Linked DNA regions of Saccharomyces cerevisiae S288C. The main gene of each other region encodes a partner of the protein of the gene in region 2 in a complex. Each region holds a gene or a part of one and is shown on either strand. Other genes may lie near its edges.

Evidence for each region.
Region 1: ISW2 (region 2) and DPB4 share a complex: the UniProt entries of both Saccharomyces cerevisiae proteins name them as parts of the ISW2 complex.

Annotation. Positions count from the first base shown.
Region 1 is NC_001136.10:691,878-694,976, forward strand, and holds DPB4 (DNA polymerase epsilon noncatalytic subunit), read left to right. Parts: upstream 1-1,707; coding exon 1,708-2,298; downstream 2,299-3,099. Other genes in the region: TRM1 (tRNA (guanine26-N2)-dimethyltransferase), read right to left, coding at 1-1,384; serine/threonine protein kinase KIN1, read left to right, coding at 2,823-3,099. UniProt on the Saccharomyces cerevisiae protein: As accessory component of the DNA polymerase epsilon (DNA polymerase II) participates in chromosomal DNA replication.
Region 2 is NC_001147.6:882,645-888,527, forward strand, and holds ISW2 (DNA translocase), read left to right. Parts: upstream 1-1,869; coding exon 1,870-5,232; downstream 5,233-5,883. Other genes in the region: YOR302W (uncharacterized protein), read left to right, coding at 121-198; carbamoyl-phosphate synthase (glutamine-hydrolyzing) CPA1, read left to right, coding at 255-1,490; BIL1 (Bil1p), read right to left, coding at 5,876-5,883. UniProt on the Saccharomyces cerevisiae protein: Catalytic component of the ISW2 complex, which acts in remodeling the chromatin by catalyzing an ATP-dependent alteration in the structure of nucleosomal DNA.

The DNA.
Region 1 (3,099 bases), on a different chromosome or scaffold from region 2:
GGGAACCTAGGCCTGCGACTACTTTTTTCAAGGGAGGTACTTGTAATTTTATTACCGATGCAATATGGTTAGGACTGAAATAGAATGGCGAATCGGATAATTCATTCTTAGCTAGAGATAGCATACCTTCAATTCTTTTACGTGTTCCATATGTATCATCCTGGTCACGATGCTCTTCTTTATTAATTCTCAACACCTCCTCGATGAACTCCTTGTTGTGTAGAGGTCCTGCATACATTGGACCAGCTAAATGGTATGTCCCCTCGCAGAACTTACATTTAGTATCAACCGGAGGCCCTTGCGCAACCGAGTATTTGGTGAATGTTTTGTTGTTCCTACCTTCGCGTTGAGAAATTCTGCCCAGAGGTTGATTGTGGTAAGAGCCGCAACGGGAACAATGGTAAGTAGTCATAGTACTTGACATAACGTTTTTGACTTCAATCGGGCTTGTTTTGACTTTGACAAAAACTCTGACGTAAAAGTCAATGCTCAACGACAAAAGCGGTTCCACAGTTTTCTTGTATTTCGCGGCAGTTTGCTTTAGTAAGTTCAATACTAGTCTCAGCGCACTTTCGTGAGTTGATTCATGAGAAACCATATTTGCACCACCATATAAGGCAAAACACTTTTCTGGGTATCCGTTACCGGCCAAAACGGATAAATCAGTGCAAGTTACCAGCATTAGACCACCCTCCTCAATACTCTGAATAGCCGCATCTACAAAAGGTGTAACGGTACCGTAAGGATCCAAGTCGATGACGTGAAACTTATTATTCGTCGCTTTGTTACGGTACATTAAGACATTAGCATCATCAAGGTTTGGCTTGACAATGTTTTCGACACTATTATATTCAACGTTTCGTTTTATAGATTCGACAGCCTCTGGAAGTAAATCGTTAGCAATAACTTCCCTCACATGGGGAATTTCATGAGCATACCTAATGGCTCTTAACCCAGTGGCTGACAATGCTTCCAAAATATTTATATAAGGTTCGTTTCGATTAGAATTACCAACGGCTTCTTTTGGTGACCCGTTTCCCATTTTTTGACGCTTGGAAGAATCATCGTTAGTTTCCGCGCACCTTTTCTTCTTACTTTTTTTATTATTTCTCTTTTGGCCACATTCCTCACCATATAGGTTGTCCCACGCCTTGATGCATGTAACACTTAGATCTCTATTAAATTGTTGGATGGGATTATAGAAAACAGTTTCCTTTTTAGGGAAAAGAATTTCTGCTTTTCCTTCCTTGACTATATTGAAATCCTCAATATTGATTCTTGGTGCACCATACGCGGTAAAATTCGCTTTAATTTTGGATATAGCAGCCTTCAACATTCCGTGTAAATTTGCCCGCTTGAGGGGTATCCTGAAGAAACCTTCCATATCTACATTGTAAGAGGAAAGGTATCAACTTATGACTGCTCAGGATCTGTAACTTTGCGATGAGCATTGAATGCGATGAAAAAAAAATAATGCTTTATCCCTTTGGACGAATAAAGAAAGGCTCAAATTGGAATAACGTTAAAAACCAGATTCGATCATCAGAGCTTAAAATTGTTATTCATAGCGGCACAATAGCAGAAGCCACAGAATATTACCTAGAGGTTTTAGGTGAAAGGAAGGATTTTTTTAATTATTTAATACTTTGAAATAGAAGTCAAGCCTTTCATTGCTTATTTATATCAGACCATATATTTTTACACACGATGCCACCAAAAGGTTGGAGAAAAGACGCCCAAGGGAATTACCCCACTACTTCGTATATTAAAGAACAAGAGAACATTACGATTCAGGACCTGTTATTTCCTAAAAGCACTATTGTGAATTTGGCACGCGAAGTGCCACAGCAAAGCGGCAAAAAGCTGCTGATAAATAAAGACGCATCACTAGCGTTACAGCGTGGTGCTACAGTATTTGTTAACCACTTGCTCCTGTTTGCAAGGGAAATTGCAAAGAGTCAAGATAAAAAAAGCTGCAGTGTAGATGATGTTCTGAGTGCTTTGGACCATATAGGACACTCGGCATTGAAGGGTCCGGTTAGAGATAAACTAGATGAATACCAAGCTGCTGTTGAACAGAGGAAGAAGGAAAAACTAGATAGTGGTGAAGTAGATGCTGATGGCGATATAGATATGGGTGAAGATAAGGAGAATGTGCCCGTGGAAAAGGTTAAAGAGCATGACGAAATAGAAGAACAAGGCGATGCATTACAGGACGTAGAAGAGTCCTCCGAAAAGAAACAGAAAACGGAGAGCCAAGATGTAGAAACTAGAGTTCAAAACCTTGAGCAAACGTAACCCCGCTATGGAAACTGTCTAGTAGTGCTTGCCACCACTCCCACAGGATCGTAGTATGTAACTTGCCTTTATTACCTACATACATAATAAGCTATACTCATCGTCGTTATTTGCAAGCCGGGGAACCCAACGCGGCGCCAATGCGGAAGGAAAGAAAGGGGACAAGAAGTTGATATTGGTGGAACGTTAACAAGAAATTATGGCGTTGAGGAAGTGTATTAGCGAGATACGATATCAAGCAGGTTTAGTTAGAGCCACTTTGTGATTTGAAATTTTTTGAGATTTACTTCGTTATTATAAGGACATACGGTAACCTAGGCTAGTTAACATAATTAGTTGTCACCCTTCGCCCCCCTACCCTATCGGTCTTTCATTTTCCAACTATTGATTAGTAAAATTCAAACATCTTTGCTCCGATTAGAGCAACTGAATATACTAGGGATTTTGGGCTATTACGCATTTTTTTTTTCAACTTCTTTTAAACAGGTACAGTTTATTACGATTACTTTTTGCTCACGTAGAATATGGATGATTATCACGTAAATACTGCCTTCTCAATGGGCAGAGGTAACCAGCAGGATGATGGCAATAGTGAAAGCAACAGCATGCATACACAACCAAGCACTATGGCGCCCGCTACGCTGAGAATGATGGGAAAAAGTCCACAGCAGCAGCAGCAGCAGAACACACCGCTAATGCCCCCGGCGGATATCAAATACGCCAATAATGGTAACTCACATCAAGCAGAGCAAAAGGAGAGACAAGTAGAACTTGAAGGTAAATCGAGAGAGAATGCACCAA
Region 2 (5,883 bases):
TTCAGAACTATAACACATAGATACACTCGAACATCTAATTGTTTAAATACTGCAAAGAATACAAGGTAATCGACTCTTCTACATACCCTTTTTGCAGATTTGAAATAAAAAAAACATTATATGTTTAGCTTATCGAACTCTCAATACACCTGCCAAGACTACATATCTGACCACATCTGGAAAACTAGCTCCCACTAATTTCATTGCTTAATAATCAGAAATTCTATCACAAACCACTCCTAAAAATATTTCAAATGTCCTCCGCTGCAACAAAAGCTACTTTCTGTATCCAAAATGGTCCTTCCTTTGAAGGTATATCTTTTGGTGCAAACAAATCTGTTGCTGGTGAAACAGTTTTCACTACTTCTCTGGTTGGTTACCCAGAGTCCATGACTGATCCTTCCTACCGTGGTCAGATATTAGTCTTCACGCAACCCTTGATTGGTAACTACGGTGTCCCATCCGGCGAAGCCCGCGATGAATACAATTTACTGAAGTATTTTGAATCTCCGCATATACATGTGGTCGGCATCGTTGTCGCTGAATATGCTTATCAATATTCGCATTGGACCGCTGTTGAATCTCTGGCACAATGGTGTCAGAGAGAAGGTGTTGCTGCTATTACTGGCGTAGACACCCGTGAACTAGTGCAATACTTGAGGGAACAAGGTTCTTCTTTGGGCCGTATTACGTTGGCTGATCATGACCCTGTCCCCTACGTGAATCCCATGAAAACTAACTTGGTTGCTCAAGTCACCACAAAAAAGCCTTTCCACGTCTCTGCCTTACCTGGGAAGGCTAAGGCAAATGTGGCTCTTATTGACTGTGGTGTTAAAGAAAACATTATCAGATGCCTAGTCAAAAGAGGTGCCAATGTAACTGTTTTCCCCTATGATTACAGAATTCAAGATGTTGCTTCTGAATTCGACGGTATTTTCTTATCCAATGGACCAGGCAACCCAGAACTATGCCAAGCTACAATTTCCAACGTCAGGGAATTACTAAATAACCCTGTTTATGACTGTATCCCTATTTTTGGGATTTGTCTAGGCCATCAACTCTTGGCTCTGGCCTCCGGTGCCTCTACTCACAAATTGAAATATGGTAATAGGGCTCACAACATCCCTGCCATGGATTTGACTACCGGCCAGTGCCACATTACATCTCAAAATCATGGCTATGCAGTTGATCCTGAGACCCTACCAAAGGACCAATGGAAACCTTATTTTGTTAATTTAAACGACAAATCAAACGAAGGCATGATACACCTTCAAAGACCCATATTTTCTACCCAATTTCACCCAGAGGCAAAAGGTGGTCCCTTAGACACAGCTATTCTTTTTGACAAATTCTTCGATAATATAGAAAAATACCAATTACAATCTCAGGCAAAAAGTTCAATCTCACTAAAAGTAACATACAGTACCGATAAATCGAGATTGCAGAGTATAAATGTTACTAAGTTGGCCAAGGAAAGAGTGTTGTTCTAAAAACAAAATTTATACATTACGTAACACATACGTACATCTAAATACGATTCAATTCAGTTCATGGTATTTTGCGCTACTCGTCGTTGCTTAGTATCTACTCGCAGTTGTCATAATTAACGGGCGCTTCTTGTAATTAAATGAACAAAAAAACGTAACGTACGTACAATGGCTCTAATTTCATCCTGCCATCCTAAAAAAAAAATCAAATAAAGCAGACTCAAAAATTTTCAGCTTCAGTTAAATTTTGATAAGTATATTTGCATAACTCAAGGAGTTTGTGCAAACGGTTTTCTTTCTTTGTGGTTTGTTTTATTTACTTTCCAATAATACCCGTCTTGTTGGTTTAAGTCGTAACAAAAGGAAAACTTACAATCAGATCATGACGACCCAGCAAGAGGAGCAACGAAGTGATACCAAGAATAGCAAAAGCGAGTCACCTTCAGAAGTTTTAGTCGATACTCTCGACTCAAAGTCAAATGGCAGTAGTGATGATGATAATATCGGACAAAGTGAAGAGCTATCAGATAAAGAAATATATACAGTAGAAGATAGACCACCAGAATATTGGGCTCAAAGAAAGAAAAAATTCGTACTTGATGTAGATCCAAAATACGCCAAGCAAAAGGACAAGTCCGATACGTACAAAAGATTCAAATATTTATTAGGCGTCACAGACCTTTTCCGTCATTTTATTGGAATTAAGGCAAAACATGATAAAAATATTCAAAAACTCTTAAAACAGTTAGATTCTGATGCAAACAAACTTTCCAAATCACACAGCACCGTCAGTTCGTCATCACGTCACCATAGAAAAACAGAAAAGGAGGAAGATGCTGAATTAATGGCTGATGAGGAAGAAGAGATTGTAGATACATATCAGGAAGACATATTCGTCTCAGAATCTCCCTCCTTCGTCAAGTCAGGAAAATTAAGAGACTATCAAGTTCAAGGCTTAAACTGGTTAATATCGTTGCACGAAAACAAACTATCTGGTATCTTGGCCGATGAAATGGGGCTGGGTAAAACCTTACAAACAATTTCATTCCTAGGTTATTTGAGATACGTCAAACAAATCGAGGGACCCTTTCTAATAATAGTACCGAAGTCAACACTAGATAATTGGAGACGAGAGTTTCTTAAATGGACTCCAAACGTCAATGTCCTTGTGTTACATGGTGATAAAGACACAAGAGCTGATATAGTACGGAATATAATATTAGAAGCTAGATTTGATGTATTGATTACATCTTATGAAATGGTCATTAGAGAAAAGAATGCTTTGAAAAGATTAGCTTGGCAATATATTGTTATTGATGAGGCTCACAGGATCAAAAATGAACAAAGCGCGTTATCTCAAATAATTAGATTATTTTACTCTAAGAATAGATTATTGATTACGGGCACGCCTCTACAAAACAATCTACACGAATTATGGGCCCTGCTAAATTTCTTATTACCTGATATATTTGGAGATTCTGAACTTTTTGATGAATGGTTCGAACAAAACAATTCGGAACAAGATCAAGAAATTGTAATCCAACAGCTACACTCAGTACTAAACCCCTTTTTACTGAGAAGAGTCAAAGCGGATGTCGAAAAATCTTTGCTACCTAAAATCGAAACGAATGTTTACGTGGGGATGACAGACATGCAAATACAATGGTATAAATCATTATTAGAGAAGGATATAGACGCTGTTAACGGTGCTGTTGGAAAAAGAGAAGGCAAAACGAGGTTACTGAATATTGTTATGCAATTAAGGAAATGCTGTAATCATCCATATCTTTTTGAAGGCGCAGAACCTGGACCTCCATACACTACCGATGAACATTTGATTTTCAATTCCGGGAAAATGATTATATTAGATAAGTTACTGAAAAGACTGAAGGAAAAGGGATCTAGAGTATTGATTTTCAGTCAAATGTCGAGACTATTGGATATCTTAGAAGATTATTGCTATTTTAGAGATTTTGAATATTGCAGAATCGACGGTTCTACTAGCCATGAAGAACGTATAGAAGCTATCGATGAGTATAATAAACCTAATTCTGAAAAGTTCGTTTTTTTGCTAACAACACGTGCCGGTGGTTTAGGTATTAACCTTGTCACAGCCGACACTGTTATTCTTTTTGATTCTGATTGGAACCCTCAAGCTGATCTACAAGCAATGGATAGAGCGCATAGAATTGGTCAAAAGAAACAAGTTCATGTTTATAGATTTGTCACAGAAAATGCTATTGAAGAGAAAGTCATTGAGCGTGCCGCACAAAAGCTGAGACTAGACCAGTTGGTTATCCAACAGGGCACGGGCAAGAAAACTGCATCTCTTGGTAACTCAAAGGATGATCTGTTGGATATGATTCAATTTGGCGCTAAAAATATGTTTGAAAAGAAAGCAAGTAAAGTCACTGTTGATGCTGATATCGATGATATTTTGAAAAAGGGGGAACAGAAGACACAAGAACTAAATGCCAAATACCAAAGTTTAGGACTTGACGACTTACAAAAGTTCAATGGGATCGAGAACCAATCTGCTTACGAATGGAATGGTAAAAGCTTTCAAAAAAAATCCAACGACAAAGTAGTTGAATGGATTAATCCTTCCCGAAGAGAAAGAAGAAGAGAGCAAACCACTTATTCAGTTGACGATTATTATAAGGAAATTATTGGTGGTGGCTCTAAATCAGCAAGCAAGCAAACTCCGCAGCCAAAAGCACCCCGCGCTCCAAAGGTTATACACGGTCAAGATTTCCAGTTCTTCCCCAAGGAGTTGGATGCCTTACAAGAAAAGGAACAGCTTTACTTCAAGAAAAAGGTCAACTATAAGGTTACTTCTTATGATATTACGGGAGATATACGTAATGAAGGAAGCGATGCTGAAGAAGAAGAAGGAGAATACAAAAATGCCGCTAATACAGAAGGTCATAAAGGCCATGAGGAACTTAAAAGAAGGATTGAGGAGGAGCAAGAGAAGATTAATTCAGCACCGGATTTTACCCAAGAAGATGAATTACGAAAGCAAGAATTGATATCAAAAGCCTTTACTAACTGGAATAAGAGGGACTTTATGGCGTTTATCAACGCCTGCGCCAAATACGGTAGAGATGATATGGAAAACATTAAGAAATCTATTGATTCCAAAACACCAGAAGAGGTTGAAGTGTATGCAAAAATATTCTGGGAAAGACTAAAGGAAATCAATGGGTGGGAGAAGTATTTACATAATGTAGAACTTGGTGAAAAAAAAAATGAAAAACTGAAATTCCAGGAAACTCTATTGAGGCAGAAAATCGAACAGTGTAAACATCCATTACATGAGCTGATAATACAGTATCCACCTAATAATGCTAGAAGAACTTACAATACCTTAGAAGATAAATTTTTATTATTAGCTGTTAACAAGTACGGACTTCGTGCTGACAAGCTCTATGAAAAATTAAAGCAAGAAATCATGATGAGTGATTTGTTCACTTTTGATTGGTTTATAAAGACAAGAACGGTGCATGAGCTATCAAAAAGAGTCCATACGCTATTAACTTTAATTGTAAGAGAGTATGAGCAACCTGACGCAAATAAGAAGAAAAGGAGTAGAACTTCAGCGACTAGAGAGGATACTCCTTTATCCCAAAATGAAAGCACTAGAGCTTCAACGGTTCCAAATCTCCCGACGACGATGGTGACAAATCAAAAAGATACAAACGATCATGTTGATAAAAGAACCAAAATTGATCAAGAAGCATGAATCATGTATTGTGCATTAAAATAAGTGACGTGAGAGATATAATTTTTTATATTACTTTTTCATTGAATACAATTAAACTAACGAGCCTTATAGACCGCATTATATAATGAACCGTAGCCACTTCTTGACCACTATCTTCAAGTTTGATAATGATAAATGACAGGTAATCATATTTCAGTCACCTTTTTCCCTTCAATGAAATGTGATATCGCTGCAAAAATGGTGAATGAAGAGGACAAATTAAGTCTAACTGGGTCGAGCCGCTTTAACTAATTCATATCCATTCTAAGATAATTGAACTGCTGAAAACTAAAGCCTGCTTTGATACTTGTCATATTGTATTTATCTACAAACTTACATTAACAACAGTGTACTGAATTATAAGAGAGCAATTGCCAAAAAAGTCATTTAGTTAAAACTTCTCCATTTCAAGTTTCCAAGGATAGGTGAAGTGCTATCCCAGAGACTCCAAAAACATGCGAATATATTATTAAGTTTCAGTTGATTAATATTTCTAAACCATATAAAAAAGCACGTATTTGGCACGATCTGTAGTTAATTGCAACCTAGTTACGCGATAGCACGCGTTTTCTTTTTTATGAATAAAAGCATTAGAAGTTTCCATGTTACTACTCACCTGCTCTCACCGAC